Linked DNA regions of Elephas maximus indicus. The protein of the gene in region 2 purifies or fractionates together with the protein of the main gene of each other region. This does not show direct contact. Links are inferred from orthologs where the notes say so. Each region holds a gene or a part of one and is shown on either strand. Other genes may lie near its edges.

Region 1 (7,056 bases), on a different chromosome or scaffold from region 2:
TAAAAAAAGAGCTGTTATTTTTTAAAAATTCTGCCCAATTCTTTCATCTTTCCTCTCTACTGTTTTATTCTGTGTTTGAAGATAGTACTGCCATTAGAACTGAACAAAAAGGTCCTTTTCTAATCAGAAAGTAGTCCCTCATCCAAAAACAATAGTTTATATTTCAGTTCTTCACCGAGTGGTTCTACCCTACTCTATCCAAAGCTGACCTCACAGCCCTGTCAACATTTTGCTAAACCCATCTCTTTAAGTTGGCTTATCTTTCTATCTCTCCATGCTTCACTTAGCCACTTTCTGTATGCCCTTAACTCTGAACCCTAAATCATCAAAATCAAATCAAATGCCCAAAGGCTATCGATAATACATTGCTTTGTTAAGACAACCTTAAGGCATTTGCAATAGCACAAATCACACTCTTTATGGGACATGAAAAAGTAAATGTGAACAACTTCCACGTGGCATTCACAAAATAAACATATCACCAACGAAGCATCTAAAATATTTCACTTCACATTTTGCTAATTTTTCTACGTTAGAAATTATTTTAAATCGCTGATACGTAAATTCAACGTTTGTAAGAGACCTTTTACACAACAGCAGTTATGTAAAACATAAAACTGGCAAAGCTGATAGGGAACAAATGATCTCAGATCAGTGTGAAACTAGAGGATTTAGCCCCATACTAGTGAGGCAGCTAGCATGCTTCATGAGAACTACTGTTTCATCTACCACACACAGAACTGTATGACCTCAAATATGCTTGCTACACTTACACCCTGGTCAGATTCTTTAGCAAGCAGGTGTATTTTGTTTTTAATCCCCAAATGTGCAGCTGAAGACTTCACTAAAAATACAGGACCGGCTGGGAAGGGGAAAGCGACTGTGATCCAGGGAGTTAGAGTGCTGGCAATGTTCTATTTCTTGATCTGGGAGTTTGTGTTTAATTCTTCGTTAAACTGGACATATGTTTGGGTACTTTTCTATATACCATATACATGGGGGAACATCTAAGATTACTCAAGACAGTAGCTAAACAATACTTTAGGGAGTTATTATCCAAACTGGAGAGATTCAAATATTCAGACTACATAATAAGTTATAGTCAATATAAGGCAACTCTGTGGTAGGCAATACGCTTTGCTGTAAGGTCAGCAGTTAAGGGCTCAAAAAGCCCTTTAAAGATCTAGCCTAACACCCTCATTTTGCAGGAAAGGAAACCAAGGTTGAGGTAAATTACATGACTCCCCCAAGACCCCCCCAGCCCAGTCTAATATTTTATGTACCTGCATAAACCACTACCGTAATTCTAATACAGTACAACGTGAATAAAGCTCAGTCTAATATTGCATGTATCTGCATAAACCATTACTGTAATTCTAATACAGTACAACGTGAATAACAACAGGATTTGAGCAAAACTGAAGAAGTAACATATCCAGCCACGCTGGCTCCTAAGGCTAAAGCCGTTGTTGCCCTTACAAAATTCAAACTGCAAGGAAGGGGAGGGAGGGTGGAAAGGCTATCTGTACTATGGCATTTCGGAGTCCTCCTCTGGGGGCACCTACAGCAACACTAGTCACCTGGTTACTAATCACAAAGTGGGGCAGCGCCAGAAACACATCCTTAAGTTGCTGGATCCCGGACTCTCCTCAAACTTAAACGCGAGAAGACCCACAGCTTTTCCTGTCTTTCCCTCTCATCTCCTCCCACTGCCTCTAGAAGGCAGGCCGCCTGAGAATCCCCCCAGACGCAAAAGTGCTGGCCCGTGCCACCAACCAACCGCCGGTGAGTGCACGAAGAGGCTGCCAACTGCAGGTGATCTGAAGACGACACTCTCTGGGAAATACTCCGTGCAGCAGAGACCACCTCATTCACCACATCCTGGAGTTCCCACGCTGGGCTTGCTTTCAAAGGCCTCGGTGCGTCTACCTTCCCTCTCCTCTATCAGCCCACGACTGAAACACGCCTGTCGCCCCTATGACTGCTTAAGGAGAATTCAAATGCCGGCTCGGGTCTTTTGTTCCTTTTAGGTCAAAGAGGCCAGAAATTTCTCATAGGAAGATCTCTGGCCTCGTGATCCAGGCAGGCCTTATTATACAACGGTTCTCCCTCGGCGTTGGCTGAAAAAGGGCCCAGGGAAGCGACTTACCGCTTTTAGGGAGGAGAGGTGGGGAAGTTACAAAAAAACGATGAAAATGAAGAAGGGAGGGAGCAGAGGCTTGGAGGCTCTGAATGGGGCTGAGGGGCATTCCGTCCACAGCCCAGTGCGGCCGAAGTTCGGCCTGCAGCCCGCGGAGGAGCTGGTCGGCGGCGCTGGACGCCTCCAGCCGCCCGGAGATCGAGGATGACGGGGCTCCAGCCCATAGGCCAAACGAGAGGCCGGCGCCCCTCGGCTCGCAAATCCGGGAAGCCTTTTTTGTCTGTTTGCTTTTTTTCCCCGGGCCTCTCCGAGGAGAAGAATCGCCCCTCAGGCTCGGGCCGCCTCCCGGGAAGAGAAGCGGGAATCAGTCACAGTGGCAGAGGGCCGGGGCAGTCACCCCCGCGGCCCGGGTTTCGGGGCTCCCCGCTCTAGGCCCGGCCAAGCCCCCCTCCCCCACGCGGAGCCAGGAGGCCGCAGGCCCCGCCCACGTGGCGGGCGGCCCGGCGCGCGGGGCCCGACTACCGCCACACAATGGAGGCCTCGGCGGGTCTCGCGCGCCCCCGCAGCCGCGCGCCGCCGCGAGCTCCCCACGCGCCAGGAGCGCCGGAAGGTTCCAGAACCGGCCTGCCCGGTGGGGGGAGGGGAGAGGAGCGGAGCGCGGGCACCCGAGCCCATCCGGCCGTGAAGAGTACCTCAAACCCCTCTCCACAGCTCCACTCGGTCGCCCCGGTTGCCCCCAGAGATGAGCGGTCCCCCGTTTGGGCGTCCCAACCGTCGCCACCGCGACCGCGGTTCCACCACACTCACCCGTGGACGCCATTTTCTCTCCTTCCTCCTCGTTCTCTCAACGTCCGTCTCCCTCTCGCTTTCCCCCTAGGCCCCGCACTGCGCAGGCGCGAGGTCCGCAACCTCGGGCGCTACCATCGGGCCAGGCCACGGGGGTGGGATAAGGAGGGATGAACCATCACTTTCTCGTCGTTTGCGCCCGCAACTCTTGTCCCAATCCTCTCTAAAGGGTGCTGGCTGCGAAGACGCGCGGACAAAATAGCACCGAAGGGGCTAGAGCGGCCGGTGAGTGGGTCTCAGTGTCAAACCGAAAGATTCTCAAGAAGCCAGGCTGTTAGTAATGGTTACGTCCGCTGGCTCTAGGGACCGTCTCTGAAGAGTCTACCCTGGAGGAAACGGAGGCCGGCGGGAGGGCTGGGGGAAGGGACCGGGGCCTAGAACAACTGCTGACTAATCGGCAGGCAGCGGGGAAGGGGCAGCGCAGCGGCCGGTCGGGGTCACGCGCCCGCGTGTGTGCGGATTAGGCTCGGGAGTCTGGGCCTCGGTGGGGGGTTAAAGGCCCGACTGCCAACTGGGGTCGCGCTCGGCCTCCCGGGGGTGGGGGGGCCGCACTCGCAGTGAGTACCTCAGACACGTGGCCCCGCGGCGGGGGAGGGGGCCGAGGCCGGTCAGTAGGGTGGGAGGTCCCGAACGCTGCGCCCGGCTCCGAGAACCCCCTCCCCCTGCCCCATAACGGTCGAGGTTGAGAAGGCTCATTAATCACCTGTTATCCAATAACCTGGTTTTTACAGCAGGGGAAACTGAGGTCCAAGGAGGTTGGGTACTTTGCCCAAAGTCACAAAGCTGAGTCCGACCCAGACCCAGAGATCCCCCCAACTTTTCACCACCCGGGAAGAAGCTCCCCTGCCTTTGTCTTCCCATTCTATCTTTCTAGTTTCCCAGTAAGGTACACAGGGCCTGATGGTGCACCACCCCATTTTGTAGATGAAGAAACTGAGGCCCAGAGGGTTCAAGTCCTAGTTCTGGGTGTCCTTGGGTAGGCAGGTCCTTCACGCTCCCTACAGTGCCTTGGGAGGGAGTAGTTGTGAGGGTGCAGGAAGAGGCTTGCAGTGGACCTTTGGCTGCAGACCCAGCCTCGTGGCAAAGCTGGTACCTGCAGGCCTTCCTAGAAGGGACCTCAGCAATGGCTCAGCACAGTGGGGGGCTGGGCTCACCCCAAATCCCTCGGTGGAACCAGAGCCAAGCTAGTGTCTTTCAGCAAGCACACTATGCACCTGCTGTGTGCTAGGAACACCCTGGGAAGCTTGGGGATGAGTAAGAGAAGCCCTTCCATGAGCTCAAACCACCTGCCTTAGAAGACAGACAGGCTAAGCTGAGCTTGTAATAAAGGATAAAATCTGTTGGTAAGAGGAAGGGCCAAAGGAGACATTTGAGCTGGGTTTCAAAGGGTAAATAGGAGTTTGCCTGTTGGAGGATGGAGGGAAGGACACTGCAGGCAGGGGAGCTTTCTACATTTTTCCTACTGGAAACTGGCAAGTGGGTTTTGATGCTAAGGTTGCCCTCGGCAAGGGAGCAGATGAGGCAGCCTTCTTGTCTCTCTGGGGTCCTACTTCCTGCCCTATGGGAGACTGGAGGCCCAGCCTGTATGACAAGCTGGGTAGCAGAGGGGAGAACAGGGGAGAGAAAGTCTTGCCTTGTGGAGGCAGGGAATGGACATGGTTGAGGGCCAGGGCTAAGACCAGCCAGGCCAGAACAGGGAGTCTGTTGGTGTCTATATCTGCCTTCCACAATTAGCGGGGATGGCCATGGTTTATTGAGTAGGAGCTGCAGACCAGGCCCTGCCTTAGCCCATACCTTCTTATCATCTTGTGAGGAAAAGGTTTTCTTAATCCCCATTTTACAGATGAGGAAGGAGAGGCTCAGAGGTTGGGAAGCTTGCCCAGGGACATGCAGCAGGAAGAGGCAGAGCAGGAAATCTCCGGGGGGGGGGGGGGGCGCGGGGGTTGGACAAGAGGGGTGGTGATAGGGCCCAGGTAAGAAGAGAGTGGGTGGCTCTGACCACTGGCACTTTGTATGTGTGAATGGGAAGGTGACTCCTGTTGCCCCTCCTCCAGCCCCCTGCCCCACCCCCTCCCCAATCCGTTTGTCTATTGGCTGGCCCATTTTGCAGACTCTTCCTTGCAACTCCTGCCTCTGTCAAGGGCATCCTAGGTCAGCCTGGCTGGGCCAGATGGCCTGGAGCTCAAAGGCTGGGCACAGTGGAAGGGAGGAAGGGAGCTGGCCAACTAGGGAGCTGGCCTGAGGGAAGGGAGGCCAGAGGAGGGCTGGAGATGGTTCTGAATTTGCTCTGGGGCACTGCACCCCTCTTTCTGGGAGCCCAGGGCCCCAATTCAACTTCCCTAGGCCTATGCCTCCCACCCCCAGACCCTTTTTCGGGGCCATCAGGGCTCAGGGCCCTTTGGGCCTGGCCCCTGCCATCCTTACACATGGACAGGCAGGATGGTAGAATGGCTAAGCACATGGGTTAGGGTCCAAGCTCTGCCATGGCTAAGCTGCTTGGCTTGCCTCTTCAGCCTCAGTTTCCACTTCTGTAAAATGGGGCTGTTGTTGGCAGGGTGGGTGAGAGGGAGTCAATGAAATAAAGGCTGTGACAGTAACCATTGCTATTATTCTCCTTTACCCTCAGCACACAGCCCCAGGACCACTCTTGACCACTCTCAACATGCATGCCAGGGGCCCCCCTGGCCCACTGTCCCCGGCCCTGCCTCTCACCTCTTCCACTTTGATGCTGCTGATGAGTGGCCTGTGGCTGGTCGGGGCCGGCCCCAGCCTCACCCTGGTCCCGGAACTGCTGCTGGAACCCTGGCAGGGTGAGGGCCACGTGGGGCTTGGAGGAGGCAGGAGACTTGCAGTGGGGCCGAGACCAGTCACTTGCCTTCTCTGGGCCTGTTTCGTCACCTGCAAACTAGGGGTCATATTAGCAGTTACTCTTTTATTGAACACAGTTGGATGGAGTTGCTCAAGCAGATTCCCGAGTGACTGTATTACACAAAACAATTTGATAAGCACCTATCCATCCATTCATTCATTCAATAAATATTCATCAAGTACCTACTACATATTACACATGGTTCTCAGTGAAGGGGATGCAACAACGAACAAAACAAAGGCCTTGCTCTCACGGTGCTGTCGATCTGGAAGGGGAGACCCATGAAAAAGTGACTGCCTAGTAGGTCAGGTACTGATACGCGCTGAGAAGCAGGTGACCAGAGTGGGGGGTAGAGAGTGATAGGGTGGTTCTGGAGGGTCTTTGTGATACGCGCTGAGAAGCAGGTGACCAGAGTAGGGGGTAGAGAGTGATAGGGTGGTTCTGGAGGGTCTTTGTGAGAGGGTGACATGGGGCAGAGCCCTGCAGAGACTGAGGGCGCCTGCTGGCCATACAGAGATCCCAGGAAGAGCATTCTAGGCGGGGGGACAGCAGAGTAAAGGCCCTGCGGTCAGAGAATGTTGGTGTCCTTGTGGGGCTGCAAGGAGGCCAGAATAGTGGGAGTAGAGTGACTGGGGGGATGTAGGGTCTTGAGGACTTTGGCTTTGAGTGCGGTGGGGGCCTTGGAGGGCTGTGAGCAGAGCAGTGACATGATCCGACTTGGGTTTTGATAGCCCCTCACTGCCCTACCCCCTGGCTGGGGAATAGACTGAAGGGGGTTAGGGGTGGAAGCCAGGAGCCCGGTGAGGAGGTCACAGCAAAGATCCTGGTACGAGATGATGGCCTGGACTGCGAGGCAGGGATGGCCATGGGACAGGGTGACTTTTCAGGTACATTTCGAGGACAGAGCTGACGGGCTTGGAAGCTGGTTTGAATGTTGGGGCCTGAGCAACTGGAAGGAGCCTGGAGGGAGCAGGTTTTCTGGAGAATAGAGAGTTTGGTTCTGGACATGTGAAGTGTGACAGGCCGATTAGACACCCCTGAGGCAGAGAGCGAACTGGCTTTTGGGTGTGAGTTGGATGTCTGGGTCGGAGGCAGAAATTCAGAAGGCGTCAATGTATCTGTGGCATTCGAAGCCTAGAATGGATGGGGTGGCCAAGGGGTGAGGGTAGAGATCCAGATGGCTCCTGGCATTGGTGGCAGT
Region 2 (7,125 bases):
GGACAGACCTTTCTATAATGTGGGGGTTCTTGTAGTTTGGGGGGTCCTTTCTGTAACTTGGAGCCCTGGTGACTCAGTGGTTAAGAGCTCAGCTGCTAACCAAAAGTTGGCAGTTTGAATCTACCAGCTGCTCCTTGGAAACCCTAAGGGGCAGTTCTACCCTGTCCTATAGGGTCATTAGGAGTCAGCATCAACTCAATGGCAACAGGTTTTGGTTTTTTCTGTAACTTAGGAATCTTCTTTCTCTGTAGATGTTTTTCTTTCCTCCAGATATCCTTATTCAATTATTCTCAAACATGACCGCCCATTGGAATAACTCAGGGATTAAAAAAAAAAAAAAAAATCCTGGTATCCAGGTTTCACTAAATCACACTCTCCAGGGGTGAAACCAAAGCATTGGTATTTTTAAAGCTCCCCAGATGATTCCCCCCGTGTGGCCAAGGCTGAGAAGCACTGCCTTATTCTTTGAACCTGGTTAACTTCTTGAGGATCATGCTGTGGAATCAGACATCTTACATCTGAATCCTGACTCTACCACTTGTACAATTCTGTTTTTGTTTTCTCACCTGGTTTGTGAAGATAATAACAGTACCTACCTGAAAGAGCTGCTTAAAGGATTAAATGAGAAAACATGTAAATCTAGAAGAGTCTCTGCGTATAATAAGCACTCTTATAAAGTTTACCACAGAGCCTAGCATATTAGTATTACACATTGCCATTGAGTCAATTCCAACTCATAATAACCCTATAGGACAGAGTAGAACTGGCCCATAGAGTTTCCAAGGAGCGCCTGGTGGATTTGAACTGCCAACCTTTTGGTCAGCAGCTATAGTACTTAACCACTATGCCACCAGGGTTTCTGAGCTTAGCATAGGGCTGAGCAAATAGTAACACAACATTTGTGCCCTTACAATGACCCAGGTTTTGTTCTAAGCACTTTACATGTACTGTTCAATGTATTTTGTTGAGTTGAAGATTTAGTCTAAGGAAAATGACATATGAAAAATATGTCATCAGGGTGTTTTTACCTGGTATGACTATTGACCAAACTACCCATTTAACTCACACCCTGATGAACTCCTTGTAGCCTCTGTCATTCCATATGCCTTCTTGACATCTATCAAACTCTCTTAAAAAGCACTTCTACAAAAGTTCCGTACATTTCAAAGTATCTAAGGTAACTTAAGGTGACTATTTCAGAGCTCATCAATGGTCAATCTTTTGTTGCCTCTTGTCAAACCTAGTGCTTACTAATGAGCTAGGTACGTAAGAGATACCCAGTAAATCCTTCGTGCAGTGACTGAAATAATCTGATATGAGACTATGCTAATATATATATATGCAAAAGAGGTAGAGAAAAACTGAATTTCAGCGAACGGGGATGTTGAGATAACAGCACTATAAAATACCTACTATGCGCTAGGCACTTTTCATGCATCATGAATTTTCACAACAACCCTATAAGGTGGGTATTCAGGTAAATCTCTTGCTTTGTAACAAGTCACCCTAACCCTTAGTCTCTTTTGAGTTATTTTGCTTGTGAATCTGTAATTAGTGGAGGCGTAGCAAGGGCAGCTTCTTTCTTCTCTGAGATGGCTCAGTAGGGGATCGGAGTATCCACTTAAAAGATAGCTCACTCATATCCTCCAGCCATTATGGAACCACTCCGGTGGCCTAGGCTTCTCACTCGCAGCTCCAGACTGGATCTGGGTTGGACAGGATAGAACAGAAAACTCTTGTCATGAGAATGCAGTTCTCTATCTCAGCCTCTCCACTCCCCATTCCAAGGGAGCCGTGTCTGTGCTTGGGGAGAAGCCAAAGCCAAGCAAAAGATTTCAACAGAGATCGGAGGAAACACACCCACTGTGGTTCTCATAGCAACATAATCACGCACAGGCAGCAGCCTATTTTGGTGGGAGCTTGTTTCATCTCCCCTCCTCCCTGGTTAGTCACAGAATGGATGCACACGCTGAAGGAGTGTGGGGTTGGGGGACAGTACTAGATGAAGAGCTGGGGAGCTGGTCGCAGATGCTTCATTAGCTTGCTTAGGGACCACAGACACATGTCCTCTCCCTGGCCTCAGGTTCCTTATCTAGAAAATGAGAGGCTTGGGCTAAAGAACTGTGAGGATCCTTTCTGCTCTGATTTTCTTTGATTGTACAAGAACTGAGATTCTTGTTTGGGGATCAGATGTCTCCCAGAATCTTTTGTCTCCAAGAAAAACTTTCAGAGAAAATGGGGTTCAAGAGGGTGAAAGTCATTCTCTAGATTCACCTCATTTATCCTCCTCCCACTTTCTGCACGTTGACAGGACGTGAAGGGGAAGGGGAAAGACCAGACATTGTCAAAGACTCTGCTCACTCACCCCTCCCCCTCCCCCCCTTCACCCCAACCCAGGTCTGTGATCTGAGGAAGGAAAAAGTTAAGGTTATTCTTTCATTTAAATTTACTCCTCCCTAACGCACAATTTTTTTTTAACGCACACACATACACACACACACACACACTTTCATTAACTCAGTCACTCAAGCCTCTTGTCTCCTCCTATTTTCACTCTCCTCACCCTCCAGCCTCTCCTCTCTCCACCACTCACTTTCTACCTCCACACATGGCTAAGTGTCCTCTCTTTCCTCCAGCACCAGGCAATGGTGACATCTTTAGTACTGGCCATGATTCTGGCCCTTTTCTTCAATGGACTCTGGGGTTAGTTAAGGACAATCAGTTTCACACTTCCTGGCTGTCAAAGATGATGATAAAATCAAATAGGACAGGTGGGACTGACCTCTCCAAATAAGTACAGGGATGAAGTGAGGAGAGCCAGGATGCTCAGAGAGTGTCTTTTAGGTCCCTGTCCTTGCCTTGTGGCCAGAAAACTTGAAAGTGCAGCTGTCTGTTTTTGAAAGAGCCAGCCACGGGCTGGGGTCCTGCTCCCCTCCACCCCTTTGTTCTATCTCCCACCCGCCTGACAGATGGCCAGTAAGACAGAGAAAAAGTAGCTCTCAAAGTGAAGACAGTAATGCATTGTATAAAAATTCACACCCCCTGCTGCCGCCCAAACTCCCTTAAAAAAGGATCAAGAGAATCCTAATGGGTACGTGACATCTTTCCTCTCTTCCCATAAAAGGAACTCCAAAATCTGGTGATGATAGGGGAGGGTGAGGAGGGAAAAGAAAACTGTGTGGGCAGGGGGCTGCCTGGACAGACTGGGGTGGAGGGAGCACCACTGCAGGTGGGCACTCAAGAGTCCTCCATTTACCTTTCTCCTACCTTAACCTGAGAGGGGCTTGGAGCTCCCTGTGCCTTGGACAGGGGAGAGTGGGAGAAATGGAATGATACCGATCCTACACTTAGCCCCAGAGTTGAAGGAGTTAATGACCCTCCCCTAGCCAGACACCCACCCCTTCGCTCCCCAAACCGTAATTTGCCAAGGAAGGACCCAGGAATTGGCAGAGGAGAGGGAGAGTTCGGGGTGGGGTGGGGTGGGGTGGGGAGGGGTGGGGGCGAGGTTACAGTGGCCCGGCCTTGCCTAGAGCTCGCCCTCGGTGGGAGGACGCACGCTCGGGTGTAAGGACCTACAGGAAGAGCCTGGCCCCGGCTCCTGCTTTCTCCCAGGCTCTCGCGTGGCCCTGCAGCGCCCGCGCAGTCCTTGCCCCCGCGCAAGTTTTCCATAGCGCCGCTGAGTGGAGACGGCCAAGAGACCCCCGGAGCCTGGGGGAGGGGGGCGGTCCTGGGGGCGCTGGGGCCCTCGGTCTGCGCCCAGCCACCGCCTGCTCTGCCGAACCTCCTACCCCGCCCCCACTCACCCGGCTCAGCCCCTAGGAGAGACGCGCAGGAAGCGTGTTGCTTCGCCCAGCCGATCGGCAGAAGTTGAGAGGAGTTGGTGGCTGCCTCGGGCCGGCCGGACTTTGAGAGCCGCCGAGAGAGGAGAAGCCGCCGCCGCCGCTGCCGCCGCCGCCGCCGCCGCCGCGGAGCCTTGGGGGCCGCCTCGCTCCTGCTTAGCCCGCAGCGCGGGAGGAGAGAGGGGCGGGGAGGGGGTCGGGGTGCGCGAGAAGAACTTGAAAGTGTGTGAAGGAATCCGAAACAGATGAGAAGGGAGGAAAATAAAACAAAGTGGAGACTGCAGAAAAGACTCAACCGTGGTTGATTGTATCGCCTGACGCTCCAGCAGAGGGGCTGGGTTGGGGTGTTTTTTTATTTTATTTTTATTTTTTTTCCCATTCTCTCTCTCTTTTTTAAAGCTACACCAGCTCTCTCTTTCTCTACTATCTCTGTATCACCAAACCCTTGCTGGCTCTTATGGGCATGAAACACTCCTCCCGCTGCCTGCTCCTAAGGAGGAAAATGGCGGAGAACGCTGCCGAGAACACCGAGGTAAGGAGGCGAGAGAGCCGGGGCTCTCCGCGACCCCGGCCGCCCACCCGGGACCACCGCGCGCCGTCGCTGTTGCTGCCGCCGCCGCCACCGCCGCCGCTGCTTAGCACCTAGTGCCAAACTTTCCACCAGCTCCATCCCGCTTGCTTCTGCCGGCCATGTGTGTGTGAGTGTGTGTGTGTGAGTGTGTGTGTGTGTGTGTTGGGGGGGAGACAGTGCATGTCTTAGGTCTCCTCCCTCTTGCAAATGCAAGAGTCGCTCTCGCCCCATCACCCTCTCCTGCCACCCGCTCCTTGCTTCTCCTTTCCCCCCAAGTCCCAAATCCTGGGCAGCCGCGCTCTCTGCCCTCTCCTCTGGGCTCCTTAGGGCTCCCGGGTCCCGGCTTTGTGCAAAGCTGGGGTGAGTGATCCTGGGGCCAGGTCTGCTCCCTGCAGTACCTTGACCGTCTCCTGCCGCTGTCTCAGTTTTACCCTTCAAGCTCCAGTCAGTCCCCGAGCTTTCGGTTCCCGCAGCAAGGCGGAGAGCTCCCAGTTACGGGGGCCGAGCCGAGCCGGGGGTAGGACTTGGGCACCACCAGCAGATCCTTCCCGCCCAGATCCGGGCCGGGGAGAAGTCTGCAATCCTTGGATGTTAGAGCCGCCTGGGGCGCACGGGCCGCTGCCACCTTCAGCACCAGGGACAGCACCCTTCCCTGCAGCAGCCAAGCCAGCGCAGGGAGTGGGGGCTGCGAGCCATCCACTGCAGGCAGAAATGGGTCTGCAACCACTGGTCCCACAGCAGCTATTGAGGAGGTGGCAGTAGCTCCGCAAATTGCGCTCTTGCCCCTGGACTTTGACAGTCCAATAGCTGTCGGTTCTCTACTCTTGAATTGGCCCCCAGCCTCAGAGCCCTGCTGGACTTTGCGCCCCGAGAATCAGGGTCGTGTGCCTTCGCCTTGCACTGACCCCGCTGTCATTACAACTGGACTAGTCCGTAGGCTCTGGGCACCTGTAGTCATGAAGGGGATCAGCGTGGGCAGCCCCCTTACCTTCCTGGAGAAACGGTGCGCCGAGGTGGGGGCAGAGTGGGGCATGTGTGTGAAGATCATCCCTTACTCGGTGGCAGAAAAAAGACAGAGAGCAAACTCCCGGGCTCTATTAATAGCCGGGTGTCTGGTGGGGCTGCCGTACATTTTACATACGGTTACCCATATGCAGCGTGGGGCGGGGATGGGGGTGTGGCGCGGGGATTCTCCCTCTGTCTTGCCAGAATGCAAAAAGGTGCAGAGACCCTTCCCATCTTTCTTTCCTCGTGGTCTTAACCCTGCGGCTAACCCCTACCCCACATGGGAGGCAGCAAAGCTTAAAAAAAAAAAAAAAAAACTCAGTCTAGAAGCAGCGTGCATCTGGCAACTGTCGATTTCGAAATAAACACGCTCTGGGGCTTGAGAGCAGTGGGGCATTCAGTACCTAATGCCGTCTCCTTGAGTTTGGGCACAGCCGGCGTGCGTGCAGTTCTCTCGCCACTTCCTCTTCCCCACCCCCGCCTAAGAGCAGACAGAAAGATGGTTAGTGCAAGGTGCAAAGTGCACGGGCGAAAGCCAACCTTACCGATACCCTCGCTCTCCGCCCTCTGTAGCGCACAAGCTAAAGAGGTTTCTAAAAATAGCTCAGAGTCAAGACTGCACTTCTATAAAGTGTTGGGCAAGCAGGCTCGTAGCAGTTCCTGCAGGCAGGTGGCTGGAGCCCTGGAAGAGAGAAAGAGTCTTCCCACCCCACCCTGCGCTCTATTTCTGAAAAAAAAAAAAAAAGGTTTTCATGGGTCTCTAGTCTGGGAACCCACCGCAATTGCATGGGGTCTGTGTGCAGACCTTCCCAGGTTCCGCAGTGTGCGGCGGCAGCGGCTTCGCTCCCCACCTGGGCCAGGGTTAAAGACGTCGGGGGCAGGCAGAGCGGCTCGTGCCAGGATATTTTTACTTGCTTCCCCCGCGGCTCGGCGCTCCCCCTTTTCAGCAGTTGCACATGCCAGCTCTGCTCAAGGCATCAATGAAGACAGCAGTAGAGGCGACCGAGCTCCTGTGAGCAAAAAAAAAAACCACTCCGCATGCCTGGTACAAAGGCTGCGGGGGAGGGGGTAGACCCAGCTGGGGCTCCTTGACGGGGACTGAGTTTGGGGGCTCAGTTATTAGCAACTTCCCTTGAGAGCCATGCCCAACAGAAGCATCCAGGCAGCGTGACACTCACTTGGTTTCTCTCCAGGAACCGGCTGTTTTTGGAATAAAACAGCACTAGAGCAGTATTTCCAAAGGGGAGGGGGTATTGTGAGCTAGCCTGCATTTATGGTGGGAGAGAGAGCCAAGGGCGCCTGTGTGTGTATTGGGGGAGGGCTTTGGTGATGGTGGTAGGAGTCCTTGTTCTTAATTCAACACGCCTTTATTAAGCACCAACTCTGTACCAGGAACAATTAGGTACCAGAGATCCAACCATGAGAAAGACCCTGTCTCTGCCTTCAGGGAGCTCACATGGTGTCACATAATCCTGATAACCGATATTTCCCTGACTTTGGGTGCTGTTATTTGCAAGCTCTTTTGTCGCATTTCATCCTCAAAATAATCCTGTGAGATAAGCAAAGGTTAGTATTCACTTTTTTTTTATCCCCATTTTATAGGTGAGAACACTGAGGCTGAGAGGTACAGCAATTTCTGAAAATCACCTGGTCTGTTAATGATCAAGTCAGGTTTGCAACACAGATGCCCCCACTTCAGATTCATTACTC

Evidence for each region. Proteins that work in one complex are often made in the same cells at the same time.
Region 1: the proteins of PRMT8 (region 2) and EWSR1 purify together in Homo sapiens (affinity purification with mass spectrometry; 3 studies listed by BioGRID and IntAct, counting the BioPlex papers as one, with this or other methods). This does not show direct contact. The link is inferred for Elephas maximus indicus from reciprocal best matches to the Homo sapiens genes PRMT8 and EWSR1.

Annotation. Positions count from the first base shown.
Region 1 is NC_064840.1:27,302,445-27,309,500, forward strand, and holds the start of EWSR1 (RNA-binding protein EWS), read right to left. Parts: upstream 3,009-7,056; 5' UTR 2,961-3,008; coding exon 2,948-2,960; intron 1-2,947. Other genes in the region: RHBDD3 (rhomboid domain-containing protein 3), read left to right, coding at 5,649-5,796. UniProt on the Homo sapiens protein: Binds to ssRNA containing the consensus sequence 5'-AGGUAA-3'. Might normally function as a transcriptional repressor. EWS-fusion-proteins (EFPS) may play a role in the tumorigenic process.
Region 2 is NC_064822.1:59,824,294-59,831,418, forward strand, and holds the start of PRMT8 (protein arginine N-methyltransferase 8), read left to right. Parts: upstream 1-4,123; 5' UTR 4,124-4,296; coding exon 4,297-4,371; intron 4,372-7,125. UniProt on the Homo sapiens protein: S-adenosyl-L-methionine-dependent and membrane-associated arginine methyltransferase that can both catalyze the formation of omega-N monomethylarginine (MMA) and asymmetrical dimethylarginine (aDMA) in proteins such as NIFK, myelin basic protein, histone H4, H2A and H2A/H2B dimer.